Linked DNA regions of Cricetulus griseus. The protein of the gene in region 3 interacts with the protein of the main gene of each other region in a biochemical or structural test. Links are inferred from orthologs where the notes say so. Each region holds a gene or a part of one and is shown on either strand. Other genes may lie near its edges.

Region 1 (2,838 bases), about 30 Mb from region 3:
GTTTATTTCTTATAGGGGAGGCAGGAAGGCTGGTAGATTTTACAGTGTAAAAATATAAAGTGGTGTCAACCAAGTTTCAATATGAAAAAGACCAAATTCATAGTGATTTAACAGAGTGTAAGACTGCATATTCGTTAAGCAAATATTCAGGTTGATAGTCAAGGGCTGATACTATGGCTTCATAATAAAAATTAAAGGTTCAGTCTATCTTGTTGCTGTGCCAACCTCAACATGCAGCTTGCCCTTTGTCAGACAAAGGTGACTGCTTTATCTCCTATCAGCGTGGATGAATGCTAGCCAGAGGGGAAGGAAGAAGTGAAAGGGAAGCCATATATGTTCACTTTAAAGGGCACAATGTAGAGATTGTCCCTATCCTGTCCAGCCCTCATTCTGGCCTGTAGCTAAGACTGAGAAATCTAGTGTTTGGTAAGATGGGAATGCACCAAACTAAGACTGGTATTCTTACTGAATGAATGGTTTTCTGCTTCAGGGGATACAGTATTTCTTCTCCAATTTCTTAATTAGAGGGTGACTCATGAATGGAATGAGAGAATGGATAAGATTGTAAGGGGTTCAGGAGCAAGGTGAAGGGACACAGCATTCAACTACAAGACTGAGTTAAGTACAGAGCTATAGAACTGCTCAACTATAGTGAAGCTATGTGGAGGGCCAATGAGATTTCTTAACAAAAGAAGCAAACAACCAATCATCCTGACTCTTCTATGAAGCTTCCACATAAACAAACAAACAACAGTGTTTCATGAAATTGAACATAGTGGTACATTTGGGCTAGGGCATGCATTGCGTTCTGTCAAAGGTCTCTGATAAGTCTACGCTGTTGGCCAAGAAAGATTTGTTCTTGGTGCTGGGAATGGAATGCTCATTTTCTTCATTTTCCAAAGTGTAAGAGAACAGCTTCCGGAAGTGCTTAGCAGATGCTGGAGATGAGAGCATCGTGTGCACACACACGAGTGCTTGTCTATTAAATGAAGATTTCCCATTATTTTCTTAGCCTAGATAGGCAAAGTGGAGCCTTGGGAAGCTTCCTCATTTTTCCTGTCTCAAAGAAACTGGTGATTCAGTGGTCACAGGAGTTTGTAATAAATAACCTACATTGATTTCTCTGTTCCAGAATGATTTTGGCTTCCCTTCCTCCCAGTGGTCTGACGTTTGCCCCAAGAGACAGTGTTAGGAAATCATTTACAAAGTGGTACAGCCTCTCCTTCTGCTATAGTTATAAATCCAACGTTGGGCTGGGACTGAGGAAAGAGATCCAGGACCTCTCATCGTTGATTTTTCAGAAAAAACTGTGTCTTCTTAGTGGGGAAATCCAGGTCCAGCAGCTTCAACAGCCATGGAGAAGCTCCTGTGGTGCTCACTGGTCCTGATCAGCCTCTCTCAGACTTTTGCCCAGAAAGGTAGGATCTATTATAAAGATCTGATGGGGGGGATGGATGAGAGCCTAATATCTTACATATGGAATTCAAGAAACAGCATCGGGTATAGATGCATATTTGTGTAACCTAGGAAAGGTCACATGTCTCTTGATCCCAAACTCTACTCGTGAGGGATGAATCTTTGTTATCTGAGAAACTACTCACTTTCTTGGTTTTCTGTCTCACAGATATGTCTAAAATGGCCTTCGTATTTCCCAAAGAGTCCGACAATTCCTATGTGTCCCTGGAAGCACAGACAAAGAAGCCACTGAAAGCCTTCACTGTGTGTCTCCACATCTACACAGAACTGAGCACAACCCGTGGCTTCAGTATTTTCTCTTATGCTACCAAGAAAAACCCTAATGACATCCTCATATTTTGGTCTAAGGATAGAGGGTATACTGTTGGAGTGGGTGGGCCTGAAGTACTATTCAAGGCTTCAGAAATTCCTGAAGCTCCAACACACATCTGTGCCATCTGGGAGTCTGCTACAGGGATTTCAGAGTTATGGATTGATGGGAAACCCAAGGTGCGGAGAATTCTGCAGAAGGGCTACACTGTGGGGACAGATGCAAGCATCATCCTGGGGCAGGAGCAGGACTCATATGGTGGTGGTTTTGATGCAAAGCAGTCTTTGGTGGGAGACATTGGAGATGTGAACATGTGGGACATTGTGCTATCTCCAGAACAGATAAACACAGTTTATGTTGGTGGGACACTCAGCCCCAGTGTTTTGAACTGGCAGGAACTGAAGTATAATGCACAGGGTGACGTGTTTATCAAGCCCCAGCTGTGGCCCTGACCTACTGTTGTGAGCCCTGGGACACCTCCTGGGATTACATTCTCTTCCTTGTCTCTGGTTATAGACCTTTTAACCCCAACATATGCTGTAGTTCTATTCTGTAAATATGGTCTTTCACTTCCCTGCTCTGCCTTTCTCCATCAGAGCATGGAATTTGAGTATATGGCTTGGCAGCATGTGCGTCATACTAGGAATCTTCATCAAAGAGAATCTGAATTACACATGTTTTTATTTATACATATACTATATGTACATGTAATATATATATATTGTACTTGAATATGTATATGTACTTGAAATATATATATGAAATATATATATATATATATATATATATATATATATATATATATTTCAAGATAGGGTGTGTCTGTGTAACACCCCTGGCTGTCCTGGAACTCTATCTGTAGACCAAGCTGTCCTCAAACTCACTGAGATCCCCTGCCTCTGCCTCCTGAGTGCTGGGATTAAGGGCCCGTGCCACCACTGTCTAGCTTTTTTACATATATTTTTTAATTGAAAGAATTTTGGATAATCCATCACCCTCACATAGATGAGAAAGCACACAGAAAGAAGAGTGTAATTTGTAATTTTTTTTGT
Region 2 (4,155 bases), on a different chromosome or scaffold from region 3:
CCAAACTTGGGTCGCCATCCTTCTGAGAGAAGCACTTTACTGACTGAGCTTTCCACACTGCCCTTTAAAAAATATCCTATTGTCTCATATTGTCATTTCTTTCTTGTAGGCCTTAAAAATGGTTTCAAACATACTCATTTTTAGGTGTTATTTCAAATAAGTGACACGAGCAGGGGCTTAATGCCTTTTGACTTTCTGTTGATTCTTATTTATGATGTACTATTCCTTCAGATGTTGAGATATGTTTAACTGTGAATTCATTTTTACCAAGGTGGTTGGTATATGGATGTGCACTCCAGATGCGTGAGGGCAGGCCCCTACTTACAAACTCTTAGGGGTCTGGTGGCATTCAGTCGGGGAAAGCCATCTCATCTGGGGACTGGGGACTGGGGACTGGGGACTAGGGACTGGTATCAGCTCAGGAGCTGACCCTCTGGGCTTTGTTCCTTTTAGAACTTTGGCCACTGTATATTGTTGCTTTATTTAGAGTTCATCTGAATATTTCAAGTTTTTTATCACTACTATTATGATATCAACACCTATCTAGGTATTTCACGCAGGTGGGATTTTTCAGTGCTCTCTCTCTCTCTCTCTCTCTCTCTCTCACACACACACACACACACACACACACACACACACCAGGAGTCACTAATTTAAATTTAAAACAGGATCTTTGCCTCTGAGTTTTATAGGATATGTCCACCCAATGATATATATCTCCATTATATATATATATATATATAATATATATATATATATCTCCAAGGTCCTGAAGTCAACATATCTCCAACATATCTCCAATCCCTCCCAGTTTCCCCTTTTATTAGAGGTTTACTTAGTTGTACTGTATTTGTTAGTTGCAATTCCAGAGGAGTAAAGACAAGGAAGCCAGAATGGGTTTGACTTCTAAAAACATAGAAATTCTTAATGTGTCAGGTTATCTTGAAGTCACAGAATCATTTTCTATAGCTTGGACTTGAGAAAGTGTCCAAAAGGAAAGTGAAAAAAAAAAGTTTTCTATAACGTAAGGAAGGGTTTGTGGACTAGTGAAAGCTCACACAAAGTGCCAAAACGATCACTTGCCTTGCACCTCTGTGTTTCCACCCCCAGTAGTGCTACCAATTCAGGCTTCAGTGGCTAATGATCTTCATAAGGACCAGCAAAGTCCTGTTTCCCCGCCCCCCCCTTCTAATTAATCTGCCTACAGTGTGGACTTTTGCGGTTTAACATTGTGCAACCTCTTCGGCTCCCTTGTCCTCCCACCCAACCCCCTCCCCCAAATCCAGGGGAACTCCCCCGCGCTTTGCCACCGGCATTACTCATTCATCCCAGTTCAGGCTTTGGAGCCTTTATTAAGGGCTTCGCTCCTGCCTCACTCTATCTCTCCCGGGCTCAAATTCGGTTCACTGGAGAGCCTCGCTTCCTCCCCTACCGCAGCTGCGGAGCAAACTTCGTCTCTCCAGCAATGCATCTCCCTGCGATTCTTCTTTGTGCTTTCTGGTGTGCAGTGTTGGCTGAGACCTCGGATGACTATGAGCTCATGTATGTGCATTTGGACAACGAAATAGACAACGGACTTCATCCCACCGAGGACCGTAAGTTTATTTTAACTCTCTCAGTCACGGCAACTACATAACCCACTTTTTGGGGCTGCAAATAACATAATATACTTAGTAGCCAATGAAGCAAGCTAAAATCGTATTTTGTTTTGTAAAAGTGAGAAAAGTCAGAGGTTTTAAATTTTTTTGCAACGTATATAATGAGTTAGACTAGATGAAATCGCTGCTTTTGAACTGTTTTTAGCTACAGCGATGGCAGTTCTCCAGTTAGGTTAAACTTGCAGGTAAAGAATGGTTACTGTGTCAATTTTTTTGAGAAGTTTATACGCACGCTGTTTTCAGCGCTATCCTTAGAAGGAGGAGGGTTGTTGGGGACAGGCTTAAACTTGAGGTCACTGAGGGTGCAACCCACCGGCCGGGTAGGCTGGTAAAGTTGTGTGTGTCCCGCGCTCTAGCCACGCCATGCGACTGCCGCCCGGAGCATTCGGAGTGGGACAAGCTGTTCATCATGCTGGAGAACTCACAGATGCGGGAGGGCATGTTGCTGCAGGCCACCGACGACGTCCTCCGCGGCGAGCTGCAGCGGCTGCGGGCCGAGCTGGGCCGGCTGGCGGGCGGCATGGCGAGGCCATGTGCTGCAGGGGGCCCTACGGACGCCAGGCTGGCGCGGGTCCTGGAGCCGCTGCTGCAGGAGAGCCGTGACGTGAGCCGCAGGCTGGCACGCCTGGAGGACGCGGAGGCGCGGCGGCCCGAGGCCACAGTGCCCGGCCTGGGTGCAGTGCTGGAGGAACTGCAAAGGACGCGTGCCGACCTGAGTGCGGTGCAGAGCTGGCTCGCCCGCCGCTGGCTGCCCGCAGGTAAGCAACGGGTGCAGAGCCCACCGTCGGCTTTGTCCCTAGAGCCCACCGTACTTAATCACACCAGGTACGCTTCAGTGAGGGCCCTCACACGCGGAACTCCGGAATTTTTCATATCCATGCTCACAAAGCTCAGATATAACACACATTGCCTTTAAAAAGTATATCCCAGACCTAGCAAAGTTGGGGGTTTAACCACCAATCTGGAAGTAGACGTCAGAGGTCCCTGATACCGGATCTGACCAGATATTATAATCCCGAGTCCCTCCGTTAGGGATTTCCACGTCTTCTAATTTTATCCGGTCTCTGCCTTTAGGCGAGCTCTGGTTTCCTACACTATTTCAGGGCCGGGGTTTACTTCAACTACTTTGCCAGCCTCTCTGCGGACTCCTCCCCCTCTGCTTCTTGTGAGCTGACTTGAGCCTAATTGGATCTCCTGCAGAGTCAGCAGAATTCTGCCAGGGTTTCCTCAGTCCAGTTAATTGCACAGTAAAGGTCAAGGGGTGTGGGGTTTGGAGTAAATTCCGTGAAGTCAGGAACAGGAGTCCAGGGTGTAGATGACATCTCCATCTAGACCGCAGGTCCACACAAGAACCGGACTGTAGAAGACTATGCAGCTTGTCAAAGTCCACACTCCTTAAGATTCCCAACTGATGAGGGCCTCCAACGGTATGCTTTTAAAGTTAAAGAAGCAGGACATTACTGCCCAGGAATATGCCTCTTATGTCAAATTTCTGAGGTTCCAGTGGTGTTGATTACTCTAGGAAATTAGTGCCCTATGTAGAAAAACATCCCCTGTGCTTCTCATGAATCTCAGAAACAATGCCAAACAATGCCATTCTTTTGTGTATTTCCAACTAATGAGGTAAGAGGAAGGACTCTCCAGTGCACGGTCCATTCCTTTACAGAACCCATGCTACCATCAGTCCTTTCTAAATATTTGAGGACTGTTTGTCAATATGGAGGCTATGGTCTTAAACCTAAGTAAGTCTTCAGAGAAAAAAGCCTTAAGTCAAATCTAAAGCAAACCCTCAGTGTGGTAATTCTTCGACAAATGTAATAAACACATGGATGTTTTTGTTTTGCAAACTGGGTAAAGTCATGTAGATAAAAGTACTCCTCCACAAGGAAGAGTTACTCTAATTTGTACCCTCACCTATGCTAGAAGAGGGATGTATACGTTTCCCAATTCTAAACTGTTGATGCTTATTATACCCAATAACACTTTCCCATACAGCCTTTGATTTGTCCTCTCTTGCTGTCCTGCCAACTTGGCTCCCAGAAGATTCCTAATCATGCTGTGGTCTGCCTCCTAAGAACCTGGTTTTCATTTCACTTGGTCTTTGATAATATAATTACAAAGACTTATTAGTGAAAAGCCATTTCATGAGAGAGTTACTGACATTTCAAAGAGGTCCCCAGAGACTCAATCACTGTTCTGTAAAAGAATCCCACAAAATCTGCCTACATTACTTTCCAGCATGAACTCAAGTAGCTGCTGCAGCCTACAGTGGGTCTCCCAGACATAGTCCTGGGTAGGTGTGGAATGCAATCCTCACTTCCTGGCTGTATTTAAACAGGAAGGCTGATAATTAGATTGCAGTGGACACCCTCTTGAACAGCACTTTATTTAAATTTACAGAGGCCAGGAGATTTCAGATGCACACAAATAGTAATCTTTTGTTTCCACAATCATTTGATTTAATTGTTGTGGCTAGAAAAATAATTCCACCTTGAAA
Region 3 (3,659 bases):
GAGATGTCAGCTGACTCTGGATTGGTTGGTCCTCAGGGTTCGAGTCGTCCTGTTGAAGATCCCTGGGCAGGGTTTGCAGGGTGGGCAGATGGAAGTTGGGCCCAAGACAAGGGCTGAAGCAGCTCTCCTCTGCACTCTCTGCACTCTGTGGGGGCTGGAATAGCCCAGCGAACTCAGCAGAGTCAGGATCCCAGGGGCCTCAGGGACTGATTCAGTCAGTCTGCAGATCCCTGGGCAGGATTTGCCAGGGCGGGCAGGTGGAAGTTGAGCTCAAGTTAGGAGCCAAATCAGCTCACCTCTGGACTCTCCGCACTCAGTGGGGGCCGGAATGGCCCAGCGATCTCAGCAGAGACAGGATCCCAGAGTCTTCAGGGACCAATTCAGTCACAGAAGTATTTTTGAAGCTGTTTAACAAACAATTTCATATGGGAGAAAATTCAGACATATCAGGAATGAAAACAATTTTCCATTCTGTTACAAAATTATGTTTTATTATTTGTTCAATTTTCTGAGATTTTATTCTGTTGATTGATCTGCCTATAGTGACCTTCATATGACTTTCCTCAGTTATCATAACCTTGTGCTGCAATGTTAAGCTTACAGTACAAACATATTTATCCCTCCACTATATATTCTTATTATTCTCCATACCTATAGCTTTCTCATCACAAATAAGAGATTCTTATGAAACAAATCAATCACATAGTTCCCATGCCCCCATGACTATTGGTCCTTCTCAGGTGTCTTGAGATTTTTAATTACTCTAGTCAATATTTTAAATATTGTTTTCGAAGAAAGTTATAGTACTTTGGCTAATCACTTGCTTTTATTTACTCTAACCATATACATTTGACTCTTCATTTCAAATTATTAGCAAATGTATCCAGGACCCATACTGAAATTTTCTCAGATTCAAAAAGGACTCTCATTGTCCGTTAGAAATTACAACACATAACACATTGAAAGGTGTATACATAGCCCTTACTTAAGTCATAACACAACCAGTTTTATTATTATGACATAATATTGTTGTATTATTGGATGATCTATAGCATAGGAAATAATTTCTTATGGAGTCTTACAAATGGAATATGAAGGAGAGTGACAGTGACTACAACTATCTAATATCTTATACCAATACTAGCAATTAAACAACTGTTTAAAACACAGTATAACTTTGATATTCTTTTTGTAACAACACATCTATCAAAAAAGAAAATTCAATCTAGCAAATTTTTAATAATCTATCTGCTCATATTTTACTTTTAGTATTTTTGACATTATGGACTAAAATTAAGATAAGGGGAGAGCAACAAATGTGAACATTTCACAGCTTTCAAGCATGGGACCAAAGCTGGTCATGTCATTTCCTATGTAGAGTATCTGAGACAGTGATTTACTTTGCTCTTGTAGGTTTCAAGTACGCATATCCCTTTATGATACATACTGTCTCTGAGACGTAAAAGACTGGACATCATAGTTCTCACATCATAGACCAGTCTGTATGGTGACCTTATCATTTTATTTGGCAGAATTTATAGGTATAAATAATAGTTTCATTTGTACATTGATTGTATAGCTATTTTAACTTAGCAGGTAGCTCATTTCTTGAAATTGATTTTATTTTTCCTGGAATTATTTTCACATAGCAACAGATCAATTGGAGAAGTGTAAAGCACCAAAGGCAAAGGATAAGGAAGCAATTCAACCCAATAGGAATGAATTTAATCATAATGTCAGTGTGAGTTACAAATGTAGAGGAAAGCAGGAGTATAAACACTCAATCTGCATCAATGGAAGATGGGATCCTGAGCCAACCTGTACAAGTAAGCTCTTGTTTGCACTGTCCTCTAGTGGTTATTCTAGTATTTACTTACCTGTGATAGTAGTAGCCTTGAGCTCTTAAACCACAGTAAATTTTGTTGAGAATTTCTTATGTGAATTCTGCATTTTTATCATTTCCAACTCTCCCTCTTCCACTTGAACAACTCTGAGTCCCCTGTACTTTCTGTCCAATTCATGACCTCTTCTTACACACACACACACACACACACACACACACACACACACACACTATGCATACATTTACATGCATATATATACATACATATATATATATATCTTGTATATATAAATTCATCCTGATGTGTCCATTTATTGTTTTTCCTATAGATATATGATTAGCACTAAGAACTTGAGATTGGATAACCTATTTGTTGGCTCACCCATCCCTGGAAAAGTTTAATTTTCCTACTCTATGTAACCTTAATTTAATATATTTCAGATTATAATTCATTTAAAACATCATAAAGACTAGAATAAATTAAAATAAGTTTGATAGAAACACTGCAAAACTGCTTTAAAAAACAAATGAGAACAATTCAAAGGACAAGAATAATTACTAAACTGCTATATAAGGTGAAAACTATAAAATCTACATAACTATTATACAGTCATAAGTAATTTGTCATTTAATGATAATCATTACTTCAATAATTTAGATACTGTATTTAGTCAAGAATTCTGGTTTCTGATGTATTTTGGGAGCAGACAAAGGATCCTGCCCTCCTCCACCGCAGATTCCAAATGCCCAAGAGATGCAAACCACAGTGAAATACTGGGATGGAGAAAAAGTATCTGTTCTTTGTCAAGACAATTACCTAATACAGAACACAGAAGAAATGGTGTGCAAAAATGGAAGGTGGCAGTCATTGCCACGATGCATTGGTCAGTAGCTATGACTTATTTTACAACATTATTGTTTTAAGTACTCTAGAGAACTCAAGTGACGGCATATTTAAAAGCTAGGGCTTAAGATATAAACCAAACAGTTTGTTTCTGTTATCCAGTATAAACTTTTTATTTATGCATCACTGTTTCATTTGTGTTCTTCATATAGCAAAAATTCCATGTTCTGAGCCTCCTGAAATAGACCATGGACGAATTATATTACCACGATCATCAGAAGAAAGGAGAGAAACAGATTTTTCCAGACGTCATGAACACGGCATTACACTCAACTATGTTTGTGATGATGGTTTTATGATGGCTGAGGATCATGGTGTAACCTGCCACATGGGAAAGTGGAGCTCTCCACCTCGTTGTGTTGGTGAGAGAAGCATGAAAATTCAATTCTGGTTTTAGAACAAGTCTTTACCAATAATCTACTCTCATCAAAGCCAGGAGAAAGAATGGTTTAGACTGGCACATATAATCATTTACCACAAGTTTATATTTGCATAAATTGATCTATCCTGCTATTATTAGTTGGATTGATTGTCTTAAAATCTACTTTTACTCTTACATTTCTGTTTTTTAATATGATGCATAGTCTACTGACTTTACCTGCTCATGGGAGTAGTAGTGTTTCAGTTGTTCATTTGTCACCAAGTGTTAAACTTCTAAGTGCACACACCCGGAAATGCTGTTTCTGAGATTCTTATTTCCTTTTTTTTAAAATTTCTTTGTCACTCATGATTTGTCAGACATTTCAGTGTCAAGTTTTATTCAGGGTTGAATCAGCTTAAGATATTCGAGACAAAAGAAATTCTTCTTAGGAAGCACTGTCCACCTCTTCTGTGATGGCACATCTTCCTTGTTAACATTCCTTCCAATACCACTATACATAGAACTGACACATACAAACAAGTTTCTGAATT

What was found.
Region 1: the proteins of complement factor H (region 3) and Crp form a complex in vitro, tested with the Homo sapiens proteins (12 studies listed by BioGRID and IntAct, with this or other methods). The link is inferred for Cricetulus griseus from reciprocal best matches to the Homo sapiens genes CFH and CRP.
Region 2: the proteins of complement factor H (region 3) and Ptx3 form a complex in vitro, tested with the Homo sapiens proteins (3 studies listed by IntAct, with this or other methods). The link is inferred for Cricetulus griseus from reciprocal best matches to the Homo sapiens genes CFH and PTX3.

The regions. Positions count from the first base shown.
Region 1 is NC_048598.1:20,185,282-20,188,119, reverse strand, and holds Crp (C-reactive protein), read left to right. Parts: upstream 1-1,354; coding exon 1,355-1,418; intron 1,419-1,624; coding exon 1,625-2,238; downstream 2,239-2,838. UniProt on the Homo sapiens protein: Displays several functions associated with host defense: it promotes agglutination, bacterial capsular swelling, phagocytosis and complement fixation through its calcium-dependent binding to phosphorylcholine.
Region 2 is NW_023276806.1:86,731,578-86,735,732, reverse strand, and holds the start of Ptx3 (pentraxin-related protein PTX3), read left to right. Parts: upstream 1-1,282; 5' UTR 1,283-1,465; coding exon 1,466-1,595; intron 1,596-2,014; coding exon 2,015-2,416; intron 2,417-4,155.
Region 3 is NC_048598.1:49,695,568-49,699,226, forward strand, and holds part of complement factor H, read left to right. Parts: intron 1-1,649; coding exon 1,650-1,826; intron 1,827-2,550; coding exon 2,551-2,727; intron 2,728-2,899; coding exon 2,900-3,109; intron 3,110-3,659. UniProt on the Homo sapiens protein: Glycoprotein that plays an essential role in maintaining a well-balanced immune response by modulating complement activation.